Danio rerio: one gene and its partner. The protein of the gene in region 1 purifies or fractionates together with the protein of each later gene. This does not show direct contact. Links are inferred from orthologs where the notes say so. Each region holds a gene or a part of one and is shown on either strand. Other genes may lie near its edges. The genes, in order: faf2 and nploc4.

Region 1 (3,830 bases):
ATATATATATATATATATGTGTGTGTGTATATATATGTATGTATGTATATAGGCCCATTAGGTGCCCACAAAATACCTCTAGATCTTTAGGGGTTAAAGCTACACACATAATCATTCCCGGTGCTTTAAAATGTTTAAACATGCCTTAAAAACTCAAGCAATTGTTGAACATTCACTTTATTATGGTTCAACCAAAATGACTCCAATATTTCTTATCTCAACTGTTATTTAACTACCTCCTTAACTATAATCCTGACTCCACATTGCACGTCCTGCGATGTGACTATGGCAAATTTACACATTGCAATAATGATATAGTCATAAGTTGCTGATGTGACAATAAATAAACAAGTAAACAAACAAACAAATGCTTAATCAAAATGAAAGGATTCCAAAAACTCAGAGTGTTACTAATTACTTATTCTCATGACATCCCCTGAGTCTTTTGTTCGTATTCAGAACACATGATACAGATATTGTAGATGAGATCTGAGAGCTTCCTCATCCTCCATAGACAGCAAGGGTCTCAAGATGTTTAAAGTCCAGAAAAGGAACCAAAAGCATTGTCTAAATACTCCATGTGTCTTCAGTGGTATGAATCGTACGAATCTCTAAGAGCACGTTTAGCTTAGCTTAGCATAGATCATTGAATCAGATTAGACCGTTAGCATCTCACTCTTGTTTGACTCTTCTGTAGTCATATCATGTACTAAGATTGACAGGAAACTAAAGTTGCTATTTTCTAGGGAGATATAGCTAGGAGCTATACTTTCATTATATAGTAAAATAATAATAACAATAAACAGAAATTTGCTGTCGTACCACGGCTGCAGCAGTGCAATGACATTACAAAACGCCTGAAAATAGCTTTCAGCCACTGCATAATATCATTGCACAAAGCTTTAAATAGGAAAATTATTGAAACTCTTTGGTCATTTTTGAGAGAGATGCTAATGGTCTTATCCGATTCAATGATCTATGCTAAGCTAAGCTAAAAGTGCATATACTGAATGCATACAAAAATGGTAAAACTTACCTGTTTACCTCTAGAAGAGCTCTAAAATGAGTCCGTTTACAAAAAAAGTAAACAAGTCTTTAACACTTGTGTCTATGCACAAGTAATACAGTAGTCAACATTTAAAGTGGATCTAAAAAAGTCCACTAAGACAAGAATGGGTGTTGTTGAATAGGACGACTTTGATGAAAGGTTTTGACTCACCTGAAATGTTAACTACTAGCTGGTGGACAGATTTCTGACGTCTACATTAATCATGCTTAATGATTCCTAATGTGTGTGATATAGACTCTGGAGGAGGAGAAGGAGCGCAGGTCTGAGTGTCTCCCCGCCGAGCCACCCGTAGACGACCCAGACGGAGTTAAAATAGTGTTCAGACTACCCAACGACACTCGAGTGGAGCGGAGATTCCTCTTCGGCCAGTCTCTGACGGTAAACAGACTTTAAATCTGCTGCTTCATCTCATCACTCGTACACTGTTGAGTTCATAACACAACCATAGCAATGTCTGCGGTCCGAGATAAGAAACGGCCTCAGCAGACTCTCTGTTTCGCTGTTTTATACACAATAGCCCAGTCCTTTTTGTATTATATGCAGTGTTACATACCATATGTTTGTTTTGAGCATACAACCCAATATTTAGAGCATGTCATCAATCATTTGCTGTGTTTCCATCCACCTGTTTTTATGCACCTTTTGGGATATTGCATGAGAAAAAACCCTGGATGGAAATGCTAATATGTGCCTAAATTTTGAAAAGAGTTGGGTAAACTTTTTATCTGATAAAAAGATGCACATAATCTATGATGAAAACCCATTTACCGAATAAATTCCAGCATGTGCATCAAAAAAGTCATGTAAATTTGCTTCAACAGATCATGTGATAATAAAAATGGTGGAAAGTGACGGGTATGTTTGGGTAGACGATGATGTGTGAACATTTTTAAAAGTTAAATACGAGAGAGAGAAGTAATTATGGAATACATCAACAGGGAAGTGCGAGGGGCGATGATGCTGAAATGACTGCACACATGCATTTTCTCTACATATGCTAAAGGCTGATTGGTATTTAATTTTCAATTCAGCTTTATTTGTATAGCGCTTTTACAATGTAGATTGTGTCAAAGCAGCTTCACATAAATGGTCATAGTAACTGGAACAGTGTAGTTCAGTTTTTAGTGTTTAAGTTCAGCTCAGTTAAGTGTGGTTTGAAGTCATTATTAAGATGGTGACTCGCACCTCTCAAAAAGTGTAACCACATCGCAGCGACTAGGGATGGGTATCGTTAAGGTTTTAACAGTATTACTACTTTTATCGATGCCACTAATTGGTTCGGTACTTCAATGTTCTCTTAACTGTACTTTTTTAAATGTTTCTTTATGGAAAAAAACAACAAATTGAACAGAATTAACCACACTTTATTTTATTATTAAGTTTTTAATGTAAAATAAAACGAAACCAATAAGTGTAAAACAAATAAATATATATTTTTTTCTGTAAAAGAATGTACAATGTCGTGAAGGACGCTGACTTTCAGTTTTTAACCATTCTTCGTGATAAAAATCAACATGTTTGCCTTTTCTAGCAGAAGTCTGAAGATCTTTGTTGGTTTATTGTGCTCCCTGCAGTTGAACATATCCTCTCTAAGTTGCAAAATGCAGTTAAATGAGATAATGTAGATGATTTTTCATGAACACATTCACATTATGAGTTAACGGTGTTTTAATACAGTGTTGGAGCATCTTGCAATGTAAAAATAAGCATTTGTTTTATCAAGCATAGTTTATTATTAAGCTATTAATAGGCTATATTTGTAAATACAGTAATGTAAAAGCATTTCCAGGTTTCAACGCTAAGGATTTTTTATACTGGGCCAATTGGGCCAGTGGTTGAGGTTTTTACTTGCCCTGACAAAATTTTCACTGGCCCCACTAAAAAAAAAAAGGTATACAGCTATTTCTTATCCACGTATTTTAAATAATGGGGCAAAATAATGTCTATGAATCTAGAATTTAAACAGTTAAAAAATGTTAATAAATGTATAATGAACAGAATTAGTTGGATTTTATGCAAACGAAAGAGCAGTATGAAAAATGTGCTGGTATTTTAGTGCAATTCTAAATTATTTTTATAAAAATGGCTTGCCAAACCGACAAAACTGTTATTTATTTGTTTTTTTTCTCCAGTTTCTTAATTTTGTACCCATGTAATTGTCTGCTTCCAAGACTTTAGAAACTGACGTTTTCTTTTAGCCTCATTGTTAGATGTTGCCATCTTTTCGCTGTAATTGTTGTTACCATGTTACGAAAAAATTGCATGCTCACCGTTACTGGCCGATAGGGGCCAGTAACTATCCGGTCTACTGTCCCAAGCATCTTTCACGCTGGCCCCGGGCCACCGGGCAGTCCTTATTGTTGAGCCCTGATTTCTAATGTTTAGGATTTATTTAGGCTACTGCAGAAAAACACAGTTTTCATTGTAACTGAATGTGTTATAACTATCAGGGCCAGCGTGTGAGATGCTCGGGACAGCCCGATCGGGCCACTGATACCCTGTCATTAAAGTTTCATTTGGCTGTGAATATTTGTCAATTGCGTGCAAAAACAGTCAGAATCGAGTAGCAGTTTGTGTTTTTAAGCCTTCAAATGCTACCTTCTCGGTTCCTCTTGTCTGATTGGATGTTGTGACCAAGTTATTTTTTTCGGAACAACCAGTACAGCGAAGAGACGGCAACATGGCGGCAACATCAAGTGATGATACTTAAAGAAAACATTTGTTTCTAACGTCTTGGACGCAGACATTTATGAGGGTACAC
Region 2 (4,474 bases), on another chromosome or scaffold:
TTAAGGTCTCATGATCAGTTTCTTTTGTCGATCCCTCTGTTTCGTTGCAAATCAAAAGGTGATCGAGCTTTCTGTGTTGCGGCCCCAAGGCTATGGAACAGTCTCCTGTTGAACATCAGGATTTCTACATCCTTGGATACTTTTAAATCTAACTTAAAGACTTACTCCCTTGCCTTTGAGTGACTCATACATGTATTTCTTATCTGCATTTTAGTATAAAATATATACATATTTATTTCCTTTTCTTACATTTTTAATACAAGTTTTATTTTATTTTATTTTCTTAAATATTTTATCTCATTGTAAAGCACTTTGGATCAACTACGGTTGTATTAAATTGTGCTCTATAAATAAAGTTTGGCTTGCCTTGCCTTAAAATGGCTTAACTTGAAGTGCTGTAAAAAACAAAATTGGAAAAAGTTTATTTTTTAAGGTACTTTATGATATGTTGCAATATCATATCAACAACGTCCAACAGTGGATCTAACGTAGAAATTTAAAATTGTAAACTTTCCTTATAATTAATAGTTTTGTTGTTTAAAATTATTTTATGGCGAGGTAGTGGCGCAGTAGGTAGTGGTGCAGTCACCTCACAGCAAGAAGGTCACTGTGTCACTGATTCAAACCACGGCTCAGTTGGCGTTTCTGTGTGGAGTTTGAATGTTCTCCCTGCCTTCGCGTGGGTTTCTTCCGGGTGCTCCGGTTTCCCCCACAGTCCAAAGACATGCGGTACAGGTGAATTGGGTAGGCTAAAATGTCTGTAGTGTATGAGTGTGTGTGTGAATCTGTGTGTGCATGATTCCCAGAGATGGGTTGCGGCTGGAAGGGCATCCGCTGCGTAAAAACTTGCTGGATAAGTTGGCGGTTCATTCCGCTGTGGCGACCCCGGATTAATAAAGGGACTAAGCCAACAAGAAAATGAATGAATAATTATTTAATTAGTGTTGCAGTATTATAAGCTTTAACACAGAACTTATGAATGACACCTTATACACACTTTCCAACAACTCATATTAAAACTGCTTTCATTTATTCCATTCTTTTTTGCTGAATATTATTAAAAACAAAACACATATTGTTTTATCAATATTATACATAATCAATATTATGTACACAACATACAGTACATATAAATGTATTCTCCAGTAAATATAACAAATAAATAACAAGTCTATTATATCCAGATGCATCAGAATAATGTAGCTATCTAACATTATGTATAAATTATACTATATACTACACTATGCTTGTCCTATCTGCCTCTGGGCTAACTTACCTGAACTGTCTCTATCAAATGTCCAGTTTGCATCATTCTCATTGTCACTAAAACCCATCTCATCCTCACGTTCATCTGCAGTAAGAGCCAGTTATGTCCTTTTCTTCTTTCACTTACCATAGAACATGGTGGTCCTTACTAATACACTGTTCCCTGTATTCATATCTATTCAAAAGTAGTATTGCCAATAAAACTAGATTTTATCCAAAATGCAAATTCCATTAACATACAACTAAAACTGAATGATTATCATTCTTTGTTTCTCAAGAAAAGAGGTGTAATTCGTTATTTTAAAAAATACACTCTCGCCGTTTCTTAAAACAAATGACCATATGCAGGAACACAACATTAGTCTTGTTTCTCGCCGGTGGCTTTAATCAGGATCCCGTCATAGCCCGGACGCATATAGATGTAGCACCGGCTCTGTGAGTTTGGCATCGCTGCATAGACCCGAGCAGATCAGATAAACAGCGAAATTAAAATAAGCCAGCTCTCATTTCAGCGGCACCAGGAGGGAAGGTTCATCCCATCAACATGGCAGAAAGCATAGTAAGTGTCAGTCTGCGTGTGAATGTGGACAGTTTGACTGAAGTCTGTCATCCAGTGATGAGGCAGCAGAATTGTTAGCATTATGCTAATGATCAGACTCAAGCAGAAGCATCTAGAAACGATTCAAACTCTAATAACAACGCCTCTGTGTGTGTTAGCTACGTATTGCTCTCGTTTGATGTATGCTATTTTGCTAGGGGGTGTAATTTCTGCTGAAGTTGACTTTATTCGGCTTGGCACAAGGTGATGTAGATAAGATGTGTCAGTGTAAGTTCATCTCAACTGCTTATTAAAGTATGAACGTGCAAATTCATCTTATCTAACGTTAATAGTTCCAAAACGCCTCAGCTGACATCTTCAAAATAGGAAGAAATAGGACACTTTAAAGCTTCTCGTAGTCTTTTATCAGGGAATTAAATTGACACTGAGAAACTTATTAAAGTGTTGTGAATAGCTCTTGATCTGTTGTTTTGGTTTTGTATGAAGGGTGAAAGCACTGAGATCGGGAGTATAATATAATAAGGCATTCAATATGATGCTAGTCGTGTGGTATGTGGAGACTTTAGTGCTTGTTTATTGAGTGTCAGATGTCAATGGTTTGCCCTACAACCACCTGTTTTTTATTGAGTTAAAGTTGGTTTTATTTTTGCACATTTGGACTCCTTAATCACATAATTTCAGAAAAGTATTCTCAGCAAATTCTAAATGGTAAATCATATTAGCAGCCAATGACTATCAAAGTACAACATAGTTCATAGTCAATTAAATAGAGCTAATGTTGTTTTGAAGTCATATTTAGATAAATGCCATTTGACACCCAATATTCAAAGTAGTATAATAAACAATATCGAGATCATGTCAAGTTATGACTGTTCAAAAATAATATATATATATATGCGAATATAAAGCCAACTTAACCTTATTGTTTTATTTTTTTTATTTATTTTGGATTGTTTTGTGCTAATTATCATTCAGTTATGACAATAATGTCATAAATTACATTCTTCTAATAGTGTTTCATTTAAAGTAATTTGTTATGCATCAGTAAATCTGCACTAGATGTGTTGGTGGTTATAGGAGTGAACAGCAAGCTGTTGCAGTAACCAGAAACTTCTCTTCCTCTTGTTTATTCACTGACAGATCGTCCGTATTCAGTCCCCAGATGGAATGAAAAAAATCAGCTCTACTAAACATGAGACAGCTGCAGCTTTCCTCAAGAAGGTACAAGAAGGGAATTATTATTTTGTTTTTTGTTTTTTTTTTTTTCAAATTTTTATGGAACTAAAATAACAGCTCTTATCTCATCTAAAGACACTGTAGGATCCCTTTCTCTCTCTGTGTAAATATCATTATTCATTATTATTATCATTATTATTAGCCCCCCTTTGAATTTTCTTTTCTTGTTTAAATATTTCCTAAATGATGTTTAACAGAGCAAGGACATTTTCACAGTATGTCTAATAATATTTTTTCCTCTGGAGAAATCTTATGCGTTTTATTTTGGCTAGAATAAAATCAGTTTTTAATTTTTAAAAACCATTGTAAAGTTAAAATTATTACCCCCTTTAAGCTATATGTTTTTTTCGATAGTCTACAGAACAAACCATCGTTATACAATAACTTGCCTAATTACCCTAACCTGCCTAGTTAACCTAATTATCCTAGTTAAGCCTTTAAATGCCACTTTAAGCTGTATAGAAGTGTGTTGAAAAACATCTAGTAAAATATTATTTACTGTCATCATGGCAAAGATAAAATATTTCAGTTATTAGAAATAAGTTATTAAAACTATTATGTTTAGAAATGTGTTGAAAAAATTATCTCTGTTAAACAGAAGTTAGGGGAAAAAATAAACGGGCTAATAATTCAAGGGGGGCTAATAATTTTAAATTCAGCTGTATATATTTATAAAAAATCAATCACATCTTTTAAATGATGCTATTAATCAGTTCAGCATGTTTAACATTATTCATAATCATAATACAGTGTAATTAATAAAGAATACCACAACTTTGAAAATATGTATTTAATCACGGAAACATGATGGAGCCTTGCTTAATTAATCAATGAATATGTGTGAAGAGTACTTAACTAAGTTTTTTTCCAGTAGAAACCAAGTTCATAGATGTTCACATCAACCCAAAAGTTCTGGTATTATTTTGAAACACCCTGTATATTGATAAATAATTGATATTAAATGACACAAATTGGCATATTGGAGTAATTTCTAAAGGATATTACACTATAATCCCATGAATATTAGATTCTGTTGCTATCTTTTAAGTTTAAAGCATAAAAAATGAAAGTGGGTGTAAAGACGTTTAACAGTAAGTGTAAAAATAAATGAAACATTTAAATAATAATAATACAAATATATATATATATATATATATATATATATATATATATATATATATATATATATATATATAATAGATTAGTTACACTGAGATTCTATCACAAAAAAATAATAAAGTAAATAACAAACAACATATATGAAAATTTACACAAGACTATGTTTATGACAGGGAGAACAGCAAATTACAGCCTAAAAAGGTATTTTTTTAGAACTTTTTTACTTTTTTCCTTTAAATTGTAATAATATTTCACAGCATTACTGTTTCTACTGTAAAAATAATGCAGCCATCC

What was found.
Region 2: the proteins of faf2 (region 1) and nploc4 purify together in Homo sapiens (affinity purification with mass spectrometry; 3 studies listed by BioGRID and IntAct, with this or other methods). This does not show direct contact. The link is inferred for Danio rerio from reciprocal best matches to the Homo sapiens genes FAF2 and NPLOC4.

The regions. Positions count from the first base shown.
Region 1 is NC_133189.1:56,130,763-56,134,592, reverse strand, and holds part of faf2 (FAS-associated factor 2), read left to right. Parts: intron 1-1,303; coding exon 1,304-1,447; intron 1,448-3,830. UniProt on the Homo sapiens protein: Plays an important role in endoplasmic reticulum-associated degradation (ERAD) that mediates ubiquitin-dependent degradation of misfolded endoplasmic reticulum proteins.
Region 2 is NC_133187.1:37,899,695-37,904,168, reverse strand, and holds the start of nploc4 (nuclear protein localization protein 4 homolog), read left to right. Parts: upstream 1-1,651; 5' UTR 1,652-1,810; coding exon 1,811-1,825; intron 1,826-2,965; coding exon 2,966-3,046; intron 3,047-4,474. UniProt on the Homo sapiens protein: The ternary complex containing UFD1, VCP and NPLOC4 binds ubiquitinated proteins and is necessary for the export of misfolded proteins from the ER to the cytoplasm, where they are degraded by the proteasome.